4 linked regions of the Macaca fascicularis genome follow. The protein of the gene in region 2 interacts with the protein of the main gene of each other region in a biochemical or structural test. Links are inferred from orthologs where the notes say so. Each region holds a gene or a part of one and is shown on either strand. Other genes may lie near its edges.

What was found. The genes of interacting proteins can lie anywhere in the genome.
Region 1: the proteins of JUP (region 2) and DSG1 form a complex in vitro, tested with the Homo sapiens proteins (2 studies listed by BioGRID and IntAct). The link is inferred for Macaca fascicularis from reciprocal best matches to the Homo sapiens genes JUP and DSG1.
Region 3: the proteins of JUP (region 2) and CTNNA1 form a complex in vitro, tested with the Homo sapiens proteins (2 studies listed by BioGRID). The link is inferred for Macaca fascicularis from reciprocal best matches to the Homo sapiens genes JUP and CTNNA1.
Region 4: the proteins of JUP (region 2) and CDH1 form a complex in vitro, tested with the Homo sapiens proteins (2 studies listed by BioGRID). The link is inferred for Macaca fascicularis from reciprocal best matches to the Homo sapiens genes JUP and CDH1.

The regions. Positions count from the first base shown.
Region 1 is NC_088392.1:58,532,487-58,536,289, forward strand, and holds part of DSG1 (desmoglein-1), read right to left. Parts: intron 3,362-3,803; coding exon 3,086-3,361; intron 1-3,085. UniProt on the Homo sapiens protein: Component of intercellular desmosome junctions. Involved in the interaction of plaque proteins and intermediate filaments mediating cell-cell adhesion.
Region 2 is NC_088390.1:62,806,157-62,809,959, reverse strand, and holds part of JUP (junction plakoglobin), read left to right. Parts: exon of another isoform or gene 1-72; intron 73-916; 5' UTR 917-924; coding exon 925-1,132; intron 1,133-3,110; coding exon 3,111-3,370; intron 3,371-3,576; coding exon 3,577-3,803. UniProt on the Homo sapiens protein: Common junctional plaque protein. The membrane-associated plaques are architectural elements in an important strategic position to influence the arrangement and function of both the cytoskeleton and the cells within the tissue.
Region 3 is NC_088380.1:145,432,064-145,435,647, forward strand, and holds the end of CTNNA1 (catenin alpha-1), read left to right. Parts: intron 1-669; coding exon 670-804; intron 805-1,805; exon of another isoform or gene 1,806-1,865; coding exon 1,866-2,153; 3' UTR 2,154-3,067; downstream 3,068-3,584. UniProt on the Homo sapiens protein: Associates with the cytoplasmic domain of a variety of cadherins. The association of catenins to cadherins produces a complex which is linked to the actin filament network, and which seems to be of primary importance for cadherins cell-adhesion properties.
Region 4 is NC_088394.1:64,919,031-64,922,589, reverse strand, and holds the end of CDH1 (cadherin-1), read right to left. Parts: intron 2,770-3,559; coding exon 2,560-2,769; 3' UTR 518-2,559; downstream 1-517.

The DNA of each region.
Region 1 (3,803 bases), on a different chromosome or scaffold from region 2:
TTTCTATGTCATTATTTAGAAAAATATTAAAGGAGAGAAGAAGGAAAGATGAAAGGTCAGGCAATATAGTTGATCCTTTGTGTTCTCTCCTCCATGTCTTTATTTTCTTCCTTTTACATATGCTTGCCTTTATTTCAATGGTAAAATCTTATTCATGCTTCCAGCAATTCTCCTTGAGGCTACTATTTCCCCCTATGCAGGTGTCTTTTCTTTCAACAACTCTTATACAAATAGAAAACATCACGCTGCTTAGCAGTGTCTTCTGTTGTTAATCAAGTGGAGTTTTCTTATTTTTCTATTTATTATCAGCCTCTTATATAATCTAATCTTGGTAAATGGTTTTGAATAAATGGATGAAAGAAAGAATTTGTAAATTAAAAATGTGAAGAAGAAGGAAAGGAAAAAAGAAGGAAGTAAATTAGGGAGGAAGGAAGATAGTAAGGATAGAAATAAGGGAGAGAGGGAGAGAAGAAAAAAGAAAAAAAGAGAAGAAGCCCATGTGTTGGTTTTCTGAAAATCTACTAGAGGAAACTTTGGGTCTACAGGTAGTGATGACTCTAAGGCCCATATATAATTTGTAAATCTTTTTATTAACTACAGTACCCAGAGGTAGTCAGCAATATAAAAAACCAACTCAGGCCGGCCGCGGTGGCTCATGCCTGTAATCCCAGTACCATGAGAGGCCAAAGCAGGTGGATCACGAGGTCAGGAGATCGAGACCATCCCAGCCAATATGGTGAAACCCTGTCTCTAATGAAAATACAAAAATTAACGGGGTGTGGTGGTGCGCGCGGGTAGTCTCAGCTACTCAGGAGTCTGAGGCAGGAGAATCGCTTGAACCTGGGAGGCGAAGGTTACAGTGAGCTGAGATTGCACCACTGCACTCCAGCCTGGGCAACAGAGCGAGACTCAATCTCAAAAAACAAAAAACAAAAAACAAAAAAAAAACCCAAAAAACAAAAATCTCAACATGAAAGTCAGGTATTATTTACAGTAGTGATAATCAGCAGTTGGGTAATTAAGTTGCTCTTATGAAGTATTAAATTTAAATATTTTACAAGGTAAGTTGTAATCAATATGCATAACAAATAGAGAATGAACTCGTTTCATATGTATTTTATGTTATATTCTGCAACTTCACTCGCATTTTTGCCTTCTTCCTGTCTTGGTACATTTTGATGAGAATGCTCTTTTCTTTCTCTCTTTCCCTTTTCTCCATTTCATAGAAATTTTCCTAGTTATTACTTCAATTAATTATGAACCGATAAGAATAAACTCTTATTTGTCAATGTAGAAATTTCATTTTTTGGAAATATGTTTTAAATTTTGGAAAAAGAACTCCAGCTTTAAGCTGTGTTATCATCATGACCAGACTTGTTTAGATGAGTCCAATATTGATGAAAACTTAAAAAAAAAAGAGTTGTTTAAAATCAGAGAAAACCCAGTTCACAAATAAATGTAGCAAAAAATATCTGTCGCTGTTCATGTGCAAAGAAAAATGAAAGTAGAAAAAAAATATTTTGTATGTAAGTGCTCTGACTTTATATTTTGTGTGTGCGTTTGATTTAAATATCTGAGGTACCTTCTGACCTTAAGATTTTGATTCCACATTTGAAAATGACAATGTTTGCATTAATTTAATTGCAATGTGCAGACTACAACCTACTTACTTTAGAGGTCCTGTTCTCATTTCTCAAAGACTGTGCCATGTGGTTTATCTTGCTCTAATTTCTATCATCATTCAAGGTAATGTTAAAGACCACCTGGAGAATCCACTGTAGTCTACCTTTATGGCTAGACCTTTGACTAGTGCTACCCTAGTGGCCATAGAACACGCTAAATGCTTCATGTGTGGTACTTCTTTTTCATCATCAAAGCATTGTTTTAAGGTAAGTATTATTTCATACATGACAAAAACAAGGCTCAGAAAGGTTAGGTGACCTTCAGAAGAATCAGACAATTCGGCTTAGAAACCAGAGTTTAACCCTAGGGACTCTCCTTTTATTAATACTATGCAGTGTTAGTATCAATAAAATCTCTTTGAGACCTGCCTATCTTTTAGTCTAAGCTTTCACTATGCTGTCATGTACTTATTTTATTTCTTGCACATTGGAGTTCTTCATTGCAGTACCTTGCACTCTCATTCTTTTGGGTTTTTGCACATAGTTTTTTTCCCCTTGTATTGTGTTCCCTTTCTCTAGTCCATCAGCCTAACTCTTATTCATCTTTTAAAACGCAACTCAGAGTTTACTCTTTCCCTGTTGCCTGCCTGCCTGCCTGCCTGCCTGCCTTCCTTCCTTCCTTCCTTCCTTCCTTCCTTCCTTCCTTCCTTCCTTCCTTCCTTCCTTCCTCTCTCTCCCTTTCTCTCTTTCTTTCTCTCTTTCTTTCCTTCCTTCCTTCCTCTCTCTCCCTTTCTCTCTTTCTTTCTCTCTTTCTTTCTTTCTTTCTTTCTTTCTGTCTTTCTTTCTTTCTTTCTTTCTTTCTTTCTTTCTTTCTTTCTTTCTTTCTTTCTTTTCTTTCTTTCTTTCTTTTTCTTTCTTTCTTTCCTCTTTTTTGACTGAATGCCTGCCTCCTGGGTTCAAGCAATTCTCCTGCCTAAGCCTCTTGAGTAGCTGGGATTAGAGGCACCTGCCACCATACCTGGCTCATTTTTATATTTTTAGTAGAGACGTGGGTTTCACCATGTTGGCCAGGCTGGTCTTGAACTTCTGACCTCAAGTGATCTGCCCGCCTTGGCCTCTCAAAGTTCTGGGATTACGGGCGTGAGCCACCACACCCGGCCCCCTCTGTAGCCTTTTCTGATTGTCTTCTTCACTGCAATAGCAATTTGAGCCTGCTTGTCATGGCATTTCCCCATTACATTGAGACTTATTGCAAATAAGTTTTTATCCTCCACAGTCCTGTAAGGGGTCAAGAAGTTTAATTTTTTTCACCTTATAAACCCAGTGCCAAGCGTAGAAATTTCTTTATAATTGCACAAAATGAGAGTTTGTAAAATACGTTTTATCAAAGAATCAGAAAATGTATCTCTTCCCCCACCAGTTTTTGGGGTACACATATACATAGGATTTGCTAAAGTACTCACATCCTAAGACCAAGAACCCCATGATGAGCAGTCCAATGCCAGCAGGACCGAAATGCACATTGTCTGCGAACAATAGGGGTTGTCTTCCATTTGGGTATAAAGTAGAACTTGCTGTCTCAGAGTAAAGTGTGCTGGTTTCATAGTTAGTGGAAGAAGTACTTTCTTCTCTGCCAGTATTGGTAACTTCAGTGCTCGCCTGTGTATTAGTCCTGTCATCTCCATCAACATTTTGAATGTCAATATTAATTGTACCAGTGCAAGTTCTTTGAAGAGCATCTGTAATAACGTTCAAAATGGAAGAAATATTTTAGACATTTAGTGTAGTAATGGTTGGACAATACTGAATTATTTTTTACACCAATATTTATTTCAATGTCTTTATTCCCATAATTTCTCCTCACTTGCCAAATCATCCCTTGTTTTTGACTCGGTTTTAAAAATCAATTAAATTATTATATTATTATTATAACTATTAGTCATAGTAATACTATTTATTGGATTATTTCTTTACATTTGGATATTATTTATAATTGGACATTATATAATTTGGATAGTATATATAATTTGAAAAGTATAGAATTACAGAAAGAAGCAAAACAAAACCAGAAACCAAATTCGTGGTAGCAGCACCCAAGGACAACCCTCGCTGATATTTTTTAAAATGATCTTTTGTCCTTAATTATAATGCCTAATGGTTGCTTATTATTTATGTTACACT
Region 2 (3,803 bases):
TCCTGACGGCAGTGACCACCCACAGGCCTGCCCCACCTCAGATCCCTAGCCTGGGCTCGAGGAGACCAGGAGGTGAGGAAGCACTTCCGGAGGAGAGGCGGTGCTGATGGTAATGGTCGTGGCCTCTGAACACCGGCTATGCACCAGATCCTCGCAACCACCTCTGAGGGAGGTCGTGTGACCCCGCTTTATAGATGAGGACTGAGGTTCTGCGGGGAGGTGAACTGCCCCAGTAGTGAGTAGCTGAGATTTGAACCGCTCTGTGGGACTCAGAGAGGCTTCTAGGTGCTGGGAGGGCTGGGAGAGAAGGGGCCTTGGGGCCTCAGCCTCAGGGCCACGAGTGATCCTGCCCAATCTGTAGGAAAGCCAGATCCTGGAGTCTCTGAGGGAGCCTGGGGCGTTCCAGAGAAACCTGTCAGACCGCTTCCCTGCCCCACCCAGTTTCCTGCCCAATGACTGGGGTGCCTCCTCCCTGCAGCCTTTCCCAGGGAGCCCCAGTGGTTGAGGGTGGGCCCAGGGGACCTCAGAAGCTGCTAGAGGTCCTGGATGCCTTCTCTTGGCCCTGAGACAGTTGGGTCAGGGCAGCAAGGTGAGTGAACAGGGGCTTCTGGCGGCAGCTGGCCCTTTACTGCCCTGCCCCCTGGGGCTCATCCCCCTAAGAGGTCAGAGATGCAAGCCCAGGACACACACACAGCTGCACCCCTGGGGCTCACTGCTCCCAGGATATTTCATGGGCAGCACCTCCCTGGGCCTGTTACCCTTCTGGGCACCCACTCATCCCCAGCCTGCATCCTCATTGAAACCCCTGGGGCCATGGTGATTACATGGCAAGACAGGCAGGACTTGGGGATGGGCTGAAGCTGGGGGCTCGGCCAGGTGACTTCCTGCTTCCTGACTTCCTCCTTTGTGCCCCCAGTAGCCACAATGGAGGTGATGAACCTGATGGAGCAGCCTATCAAGGTGACTGAGTGGCAGCAGACGTACACCTACGACTCGGGTATCCATTCGGGCGCCAACACCTGCGTGCCCTCCATCAGCAGCAAGGGCATCATGGAGGAGGATGAGGCCTGCGGGCGCCAGTACACGCTCAAGAAGACCACCACCTACACCCAGGGGGTGCCCCCCAGCCAAGGTCAGGACCCCTTGGAACTATTCCATGGGGTAGAAAACCTGCCTGGGTCCTGGAGAGAGGTCAGAGTGAAAGGAGGCGGATTCTAGGGGGTCCCTGGTCTGAGGGAGGAGGCACAGCTCATACTAACAGGGGGCCCACCCAGTCTGAAGGAGGAGGTGCAACTACTTCAGGGTGCTGTATCTGGGAGGGTCACAAAATCCTCTTCTGTGAAGAGGGAAGGTAGGGAGGGAAGGCATAGTCCCTGCCCTCAGGGTGCCTCCAGTCTGAAGGAAGAGGCACAGTCCTTGTCTTCTGTGAATGTAAGAATCTGATGAGGACGTTGGGCGCGGTGGCTTACGCCTGTAATCCCAGCACTTTGGGAGACTGAGGTGGGTGGATCACCTGAGGTCAGGAGTTCGAGACCAGCCTGGCCAACATGATGAAACCCCGTCTCTACTAAAAATAAAAAATTAGCCGGGTGTGGTGGCATGCACCTGTAGTCCCAGCTACTAGGGAGGCTGAGGCAGGAGAATTGTTTGAACCCAGGAGGCAGAGGTTGGAGTGAGCTGAGATTGTGCCACTGCACTCCAGCCTGGGTGACAGAGTGAGACTCCGTCTCAAATCATAATAATAATAAAAAAATAAGAATCTGATGAGGAGGCATCACTATGGCTCTCAGGAAGCCCATGGATGGCAGGGAGGACACAGCCCTTTGGCTCTAGGAGCCTCACATTTGATGGGAGAGCCAGGGCCCTAGCCTCCAGGAACCCCCCAGGGATTCTCCTTTGGGTAGAGGAGGTGTAGGTCTCAAGCCTGAGGGCCCCTCGTTGGGAGGGAGACCAGGCCTCTGCTGCTGACATGCAGATAGGCCGAGGCTGTGGGACGAGTGACTGACTCAGCTCTAGGGCTTAGTCCTGGCTGGGGGTGCCCCGCCAGCCCAAGCCTCCCCTGCCCCTCTGGGGGAGAGGAGTAGCCAGGCCCTAGAACTGTTGACCACAGGTGCCTCCGGGGCCCTGAACATGCCATGAGGTGGGCTGTAGGCTCTGAGAGTAGTGAGGGTGGACTGTAGCTGGTGGGGCTCTGCGGAGTCAGCCCCTGCACACCAGTCTCCTCCCTGACAGCTGGTAGGGGGAGTACGGGGCCTCTTGGCTGGGCAGGGCCAGGCACTGTGTTGGTAGCAAAAAGTACAGCATCCAGGTGGGAAAGCCATGCAGCTGTCTCCTCCTTCCCAACTAATTAGAGGGTGGAACCTCTGCGTCCCTCTCCCTGGGGGCATCAGGACAGTTGCCAGGGTGTGGCTGCTTGGGCATCTACCTGTGGGACTCCCAGACCCACCCAGGGGGAGGAAGGAAGTTAGAGAGGAACCTGACGTCTCAGCTGAGGACCCAGCTCCTGGCTCCCTGAACCCACAGCCCTGACTTTCCCTCTGATCTGCTGTGAGATGTGATGTTGGTGGCTCTCTGGGCCTCTGTTTGCCTGCCTGTATAGTGGGAGGATTGCCGCTGTTGGGGATGATGAGGGTGTAATTAGACTCCTGAGATTTCAGGGTTGAAAGGAGACCTGATGGGTAAGGGAGGAGAATGGAATAGGGGTTTGGGCCCCTGAGTCAGGCTGCCTTATAACCCCTCTGTGCCCAGTTTTCCCATCTGTAAAGAGGAGCCAATGATAGTACTTACCTTGCAGGGTCATTGTCAGATTATATGAGAAAATAGCAGGGCACTGAATTCACTGCCAGGCACATAATAAGTGTGCCAAAAAAAAAAAAATTCCCATGATGGACATAACATGTGGGGCCCATTTTACAGATGAGGTTACTGAGGTGATGGTGACTTCCCCAAGGTCCCTGGGGAGAGGTAGAATGGCCAGTCATGCGCTGCGGCTTTGGGCAGGGTGAAAGGTAGCCCAGAGGGCCGAGGTGGGGCTGTGTGCAGCCTGCCCTGCTCCCCAGTGTCTGCCCAGCCCACTGCCCGCACTCAGTCCCTGTCCCCATGGCCCCCAGGTGACCTGGAGTACCAGATGTCCACAACAGCCAGAGCCAAACGGGTGCGGGAGGCCATGTGCCCTGGCGTGTCAGGCGAGGACAGCTCGCTGCTGCTGGCCACGCAGGTGGAGGGGCAGGCCACCAACCTGCAGCGACTGGCCGAGCCATCCCAGCTGCTCAAGTCGGCCATTGTGCATCTCATCAACTACCAGGACGACGCCGAGCTGGCCACTCGAGCCCTGCCCGAGCTCACCAAGCTGCTCAACGACGAGGACCCGGTCTGTGAGGGTCCCGGCTAGGGTGGGGGCTGAGCAGGGAGGGGAGAGAGCAGATGTCCTCAGGGGAGGGACATTGTAGGGGAGGAGGAAGGTTATGACCCGGACTCCCCTGTATGTGACGAGTCTGGGGCCCTCCTCAGCTCTGTGGAAGGGTGTCCCGGCCCCTCCTTAGTGCTCACGTCCCCGCACCTGCCTTTGCCCTCCAGGTGGTGGTGACTAAGGCGGCCATGATTGTGAACCAGCTATCAAAGAAGGAGGCGTCGCGGCGGGCCCTGATGGGCTCACCCCAGCTGGTGGCCGCTGTCGTGCGCACCATGCAGAATACCAGTGACCTGGACACGGCCCGCTGTACCACCAGCATCCTGCACAACCTCTCCCACCACCGGGAGGGGCTGCTCGCCATCTTCAAGTCGGGCGGCATCCCTGCTCTGGT
Region 3 (3,584 bases), on a different chromosome or scaffold from region 2:
TGCTCTGTTTCTTCCTTTGGGTAAAGCTTTCTAGGCTGGTCCTAATCTGGGAGCCTCTAAAACCCTGAGATATGGGGGGAGACAGGAACTGGGCAGGGGCCACCCTTTTCTCTTTGACCATCCCTGACTGCTTTTTTTCTTGCTTTCTTTACTCATTTATCCTCCACCTCAGCCTGCAGTGAGTGGCTTTTGTCATCAGGCCTTAATAACGCAAAGTGCATCGGAGCAGAAGAGCTATTTGTTTACTTAGCTCAAAACATCTGGACTTTTCTCCATAGCCAGGCTCCTACTTGCTGAGCCGGCTTGTTCTCACCTTGAGGGGCACAGGCCTCCACCCTGCCATGTGGGGTGAGGGGATCCTTGGCCAGAGTGGTTTCCCTGCTGTCACAGAAGGGAAGTCAGCGGGAGGCTCAGAAGGCCTTGGCTGTACAACCAGTGCCGTGCGGCACAGCCAGGGTCCCATGAACGACTTCCATCAGATCACCTGCCTCCATCCCCAAGCAGAGTGTAGGCAAGGGCTGTGACTGCCTCAGGTAATTGGGTGATTTTGCTCCAGCAAGAGGACAGGAAGCATGTGAGTGCCACCCTGAACCTTTAAGAAACACCCATGGGGTGGGAGGTGCTTGGTCCAGGCCAGGGTGCTCGGTGCTAAGCGTGCTCTCCCTTCAGTGCCCGGACTCGGCTTGCAAGCAGGACCTGCTGGCCTACCTGCAACGCATCGCCCTCTACTGCCACCAGCTCAACATCTGCAGCAAGGTCAAGGCCGAGGTGCAGAATCTCGGCGGGGAGCTCGTTGTCTCTGGGGTAAGCATTAGCTGAGAAAAAAGAGGGCCAGTGGGAACGTGCTGACCCTTGTCAGAAATGAAAGTCACTTCCTATCCACATACACACCTGCCCTGGGAAAGTGTGCTGAGCAGAAACCCCAAGTCCTGTCCCAGCCTCCGGAGACCAAGGTCTGTCCATCATCTGTTCCCTGTAGAACTGTGACACGTGTGGGCCACTGCAAGGGCTGAAAGGCTGGCCTCCTCCCCTTTGCTGGCCACTCACTGGGAACAAATTTTTAAAAATCTTCCTTGGGACCGGGCGTGGTGGCAGGTGCTTGTAAGTCCCAGCTACTTGGGAGGCTGAGACACAAGAATTGCTTAAGCCTGGGAGACAGAGGTTGCAGTGAGCCGAGATGGCACCACTGCACTCCAGTCTGGGTGACAGGGCAAGACTCTGTCTCAAAATAAAACAAAACTTCCTTTTCTTCCCCCAGAGAGGAATTAAGAGTAGACATAGATAGGATGCTTTCTCGAAAGCCCTTCACCCCTCAGAGCGCTTGGGTAGCATCTCTTTTATCAGGTCACAGTTCTGAGGCCTTTCTCACCTAGGGCAGGGGAAAGAGGTTTGCTGAGTGGACTGGGGTCCAGCGAGCCTCCGTGGCTTCTTTTAATCCCATTAAATTTCCTTTAAAAGAAACACTTCTTATATTGAACATATTGAGACCATTTGCTCATCTGCTTTGCCATAAACGTCCCTGTCTCGATTCCTGCTTCTCCTCCCCCACGTACTTATAGCTCTGGGATCACTCACAGTGGCTTCCGCTTTGAGTGAATAAACACTTGCTGGGGGGTGGGGGCGAGCAAAGCAAGGCTGCCTCATGTCTTCTTCAAAGGGTCTGAGGGCAGGCGCTTCCAGGCTATTTAGGTAAGAGCAACTGTTGAGGGTGTTCCTCAGCAACAGGCTGCTGCCCAATCCTCTGCCACCTGCCCAGGCCCTGGTCTTGCAGAGGAGTAGGGGGCCCCCCTTCAGGCACAGCCCACCTGTGTCCACGATGCTGGAGGTCAGGCCTGTGCTTCTCACCACCCTTGTCTGCCTTGTAGGTGGACAGCGCCATGTCCCTGATCCAGGCAGCCAAGAACTTGATGAATGCTGTGGTGCAGACAGTGAAAGCATCCTACGTCGCCTCTACCAAATACCAAAAGTCGCAGGGTATGGCTTCCCTCAACCTTCCTGCTGTGTCATGGAAGATGAAGGCACCAGAGAAAAAGCCCTTGGTGAAGAGAGAGAAACAGGATGAGACGCAGACCAAGATTAAACGGGCATCTCAGAAGAAGCATGTGAACCCGGTGCAGGCCCTCAGCGAGTTCAAAGCCATGGACAGTATCTAAGTCTGCCCAGGCCAGCTGCCCCCACCCCTCAGGGCTCCTGAAGATCAGTCACTGTTTGTCACTCAAATGAATTTGCTAAATACTACACTGATGTCAGATTCCACAGGGAAATGGGCAGACTGTGAACCAGTCCAGGTGGTGAATTTTCCAAGAACATAGTTTAAGTTGATTAAAAATGCTTTTAGAATGCAGGAGCCTACTTCTAGCTGTATTTTTTTATATGCTTAAATAAAAGTAAAAATTCCATAACCAAAGAGAATCCCACATTAGCTTGTTAGTAATGCTTTGAGCAAGCCGAGATGCCCATTCTCTTAGTGAGGGCGGCATTAGGGTTTAAGAGAAGGGAATTTGGCTCAACCTCAGTTGAGAGGGTGCAGTCCAGACAGCTTGACTGCTTTTAAATGACCAAAGATGACCTGTGGTAAGCAACCTGGGCATCTCAGGAAGCAGTCCCTGGAGAAGGAATGTTCTCAGAAAGGTCTTTAGAGGAACAAACTCAGTAAAACGTAATGTTTCATGAAGAAAACTGATTACTCTCTTTATGACATGAAATGAGAATTTAAATGCATGGTTACAATTACTAATGTACGCTGCTGCAGGTCATTAATAAAGTTGCTTTTTTTAGGCTACAGTGTCGTAATCAGAACACACTTTTCTCTTTCTTCCAGCTTCAAATGCAAATTCATCACTGGGCTCACTTCTAACAATTGCAGTGTTTCCCACCTTGGGCTTGCAGCAGAAAAACCTGACAAAATAGTGTGTGCTAAGGCAGTAATTTAGACTTTACCTTATTTGTGATTACTATAGTGATTACTGTAACTACAAGGCATAACTTACCATCTTATATAAATTTTACAAATTTTGAATGTTTTTTACACTAACTTTTCCCAATAAAGTCCACTATGAAACCACAACATCCAAGAGGCCAAAGTCGTCATCTCTTCCTTCAAGTGCTCACAGCATCTGTGGTGCTCTGGGCCCTCCCGGTGTCCCTCTCTTCCAGGATGGGGATGCCCGGAAGGGAGGCTGTGGCTCTAGGCTGCACGGCTCATGCCAGCCCATCAGGGAGGGCCATGCCCCTTGTCCTATTGAGTGCCCCACCCTGCACCCCCACCTTGGGAGTTGACATGTCCATTCCTTGAGGTTCATGTCAACCTCGGAGGCATCCCGTCTTCATTATGAATGTCCCCTCTCCTGTGTCCTTCCTGTCAGCACACACACACCTATGATGATAGCGGCCTTCGAGATGAAAACCCCTGAACCCCATGATCCTTTCTCACTTCCAACCGGCTGTCGCCTTGCTCCCTCCACCTCCCCTCGTCAGGGCGACTGCCTTCCACTGCCAGTGACACTGGCAATGGTCTTCAGACCTCATCATGCAAGCTGCCTGGGGGCGTGGCGGGGAGGAGGAGGAGGACAAGGACTCCTGAA
Region 4 (3,559 bases), on a different chromosome or scaffold from region 2:
TTGGTTTCATCACATGCCACATGGATGGATACTGTTCAAATAAAGTTACCATGTGAATGTAGTTTCTCCCATGTTGTGTCCAGTAGAATGATAGAAGCTTCTGGAGAAGTCACTTCAGCATTAAGCTTTTTAATTTTTTTAATTTTTTTGAGATGGAGTCTTGCTGTCTCCCAGGCTGGAGTGCAGTGGCGCAATCTCGGCTCACTGCAACCTCCGCCTCCCGGGTTCAAGTGATTCTCATGCCTCAGCCTCCGGAGTAGCTGGGACTACAGGCACGTGCCACCACGTCCAGCTAGTTTTTGTGTTTTTGTAGAGACGAGGTTTCACTGTGTTGCCCAGGCTGGTCTCAAACTCCTGAGCTCAAGTGATCCACCCGCCTCGGCCTCCTGAAGTGCTGAGATTACAGTCGTGAGCCACTGTGCCCCGCCTCTTTCTCCATGTTTTGACTAAGGCTATATCCATCCATCTTCTCTCTTGCCTGGAAATGTGGTGGAATCAAATAAAACAAGTTCGACAATGGTTTAACAAAATTCTTTAATAAAATTTATAAAAATGCATCTTTGAGAATACTTTTCTCAGCTTGTTTTCCTTTTCCACCCCTAAAGAAAATATACAATGATCAGCACCCACACACGTACACACTCAAAACTACAGTGACATTCTCTACACAGAACTATATTCGATACAGCTTGAACTTTAGAAAAATCAAGACAATTCCAAAAAGTGATTGCAGGGTTGATTTTTTTCTCCCAAACACTTGAGAAACAGTAAAGCTATTTCAACAAAAGTCTTTTCTTTGATTGTCAAAAAGTTGCAATTCACATTTAAATAAAAAGAGCTCCAAATCAAGATCCTCTCCACCCCCCCACCCCTCGATTAACCCCCTTTAGGGCCACATTTTCTTGTTGCTCCTAAGAAAAATGTTTAGAATTTCGAATATTCTCAGTTTTCTATGCACATTTGGAATTGGACAAATGTGTTCAGATCAGCCAGCATTTTCTGTAGACATCATCAAAAGCAGGCACTTGGGGATTCTGGGCTTTGAGTACAAACCACAGATCCTGTGTCAGAAACACATGTTGAGACTCCTCCATTCCTTCCAGAATTTTCAGAGATGAGGTAGACCCACCTCAATCATCCTCGGCATCAGTTTGCTAAATTGCCAGGCTCAATGAGAAGCTCTCCTGCCATCTCCAAGCCCACTTTTCCTAGTTCCACTCTGTCTTTGGCTGCAGCATTTTAGGCACTATTCTAAGTCCTGGAGTATGTCACTCTTGTTTCAGAGCTAAATAAACATTAACGAACACACTTACTCAGAACAAGTCACTGGATAGATGACCACTGCAAGTTACATACTCAGGAGATGAAAGAGGGAAGCCATTAAAAGTCTTCAGAGTAGACAATACCTAGTCAAGATGTGGCCAGACGAAGACATGAGCTGCTTACCCTAAAAGGGCCCAATAATTTCCGCACCGAAGAACTCCTATCTTGGGCAAAGCAACTGAATTCAGGAGTGAGAGTAGATATTAAAACATGGAGGCTGGGCACAGCAGCTCATGCCCGCAATCCCAGCACTTTGGGAGGCCAAGGCAGGAGGATTGCTTGAGGCCAGGAGTTTAAGACTAACATGGCAATATAGCAAGACCCCATCTGTTCAAAAAAATAAAAAGGAGGCTGATGGGAGAATTGCTTGAGCCCCAGAGTTCGAGGTTACAGTGAGCTATGATCACATCACTGCATCCCAGGCCTGTGTGACGGAGCGAAACTGTCTCTTAAAAAATGGCAGGGAGCTGGGGAGCTGGGCAGATGCAGTGTCTCATGCCTGTAATCCCAACACTCTGGGAGGCCAAGATGGGAGGATCACTTGAGCCCAAGAGTTTAAGACCAGCCTGGGTAACATAGGGAGACCCTGTCTCAAATATTTAAAAAATTAGTCGTGCATAGTGGCACATGCCTGTGGTCCCAGCTACTTGGGAGGCTGAGGTGCAAGGATTGCTTAAGCCTGGGAGGACAAGGCTTCTGTGAGTTGTGATTGCACCACTGCACTCCAGCCTGGCCGACAGAATGAGACCCTGTCTTAAAAAAAAAAAAAAAAAAAAAAGGGGGGCAGGGGGACAAACCATTGTAGCAATGAGCAGGAGCATACACATTAAAAAAAAATTATATACACAGAAAAACAGAACTAGAGTAGCTGACTTCTCCCCTTTTTTTTAAAAGTGAGACAAAATTCCTTAAGAAAATCTGCAAGGTGCTAGGTGAACCTTCTGATGCTAAAGTTGTTCTTCTGTAATATTAAAATTTGGGTATCTTGTGGACATCACCACCATGTAAAGCGTGGTGGGGAAAAAAAAACCTTCAAGGAATAAGTCAAAACTTTTCTAACACACATCGATTACAGCTATAAAGTGGAAAGACTATAAAGCTATACTAACTGCATCACTGACCAGTCTCTTTTTTTCCCAGAAACTCATCTCAAGGGAAGGGAGCTGAAAAACCACCAGCAACATGATCTCTGCATTTCCCAGCACAGAGGTCTAGGGTCCGCCTCTCTCGAGTCCCCTAGTCATCCTCGCCGCCTCCGTACATGTCTGCCAGCTTCTTGAAGCGATTGCCCCATTCATTCAAGTAATCATAGTCCTGGTCTTTGTCTGACTCTGAAGAGTTCAGGGAGCTCAGACTAGCAGCTTCGGAACCGCTTCCTTCATAGTCAAACACGAGCAGAGAATCATAAGGCGGGGCCGTGGGGTCACTATCAGCTGCCTTCAGATTCTAAAGAAGAAAAGGGGACAACAGGACCTTTTAGTGAAAGGAAGGACACACCTGTCACCCGGGGCAAGAAGTCTCGCAACATGTAAGGTATGACAATGCACCCAGACTGGCACACCACGGAGCAGTGAATACCAGCAAGGTACATTTATACACACTGGCATGGAAAGATGCACAGGATACGCTGTTGATGGAAAGAGAAAGTAAAATGGTAAGTTATATGTAGGCAGGAGAGATGCAAGCACCAACCAGTCAGGATGGAGTCCCCACAAATCAGGGTGGGGCTTCCACACCACCAGCTGGATGGACAGAGCTGGAAACTTTGCATACTGGTGCATTCAGGCTGCATTTCCACCCAGAAAGGGCTGGAAGGATGAATGCCAAATGCTTAACAGTTAAATCTGGGGAGTGGGGGTGTGGGAACTAAGGAAGGACTTGTATTGTTTTCTTTTTCTTTTTTTTTTGGAGACGGAGTTTCACTCTTGTCACCCAGGCTGGAGTGCAATGGCGTGATTTTGGCTCACTGCAACTTTCGCCTCCCAGGTTCAAGCGATTCTCCTGCCTCAGCCTCCCAACTATAGGCATGTGCCATCAAGTCCAGCTAATATTCATATTTTTAGTAGAGACGGGGTTTCACCATGTTGGCCAGGCTGGTCAACTCCTGACCTCAGGCAATCCACCTGCCTCAGCCTCCCAAAGTGCTGGGATCACAGACGTGAGCCACTGCGCCCAGCCTTTTTTTTCTTTATATATTTTCATTTTATGAACTAAATAAAGTATATTTATTTATTTT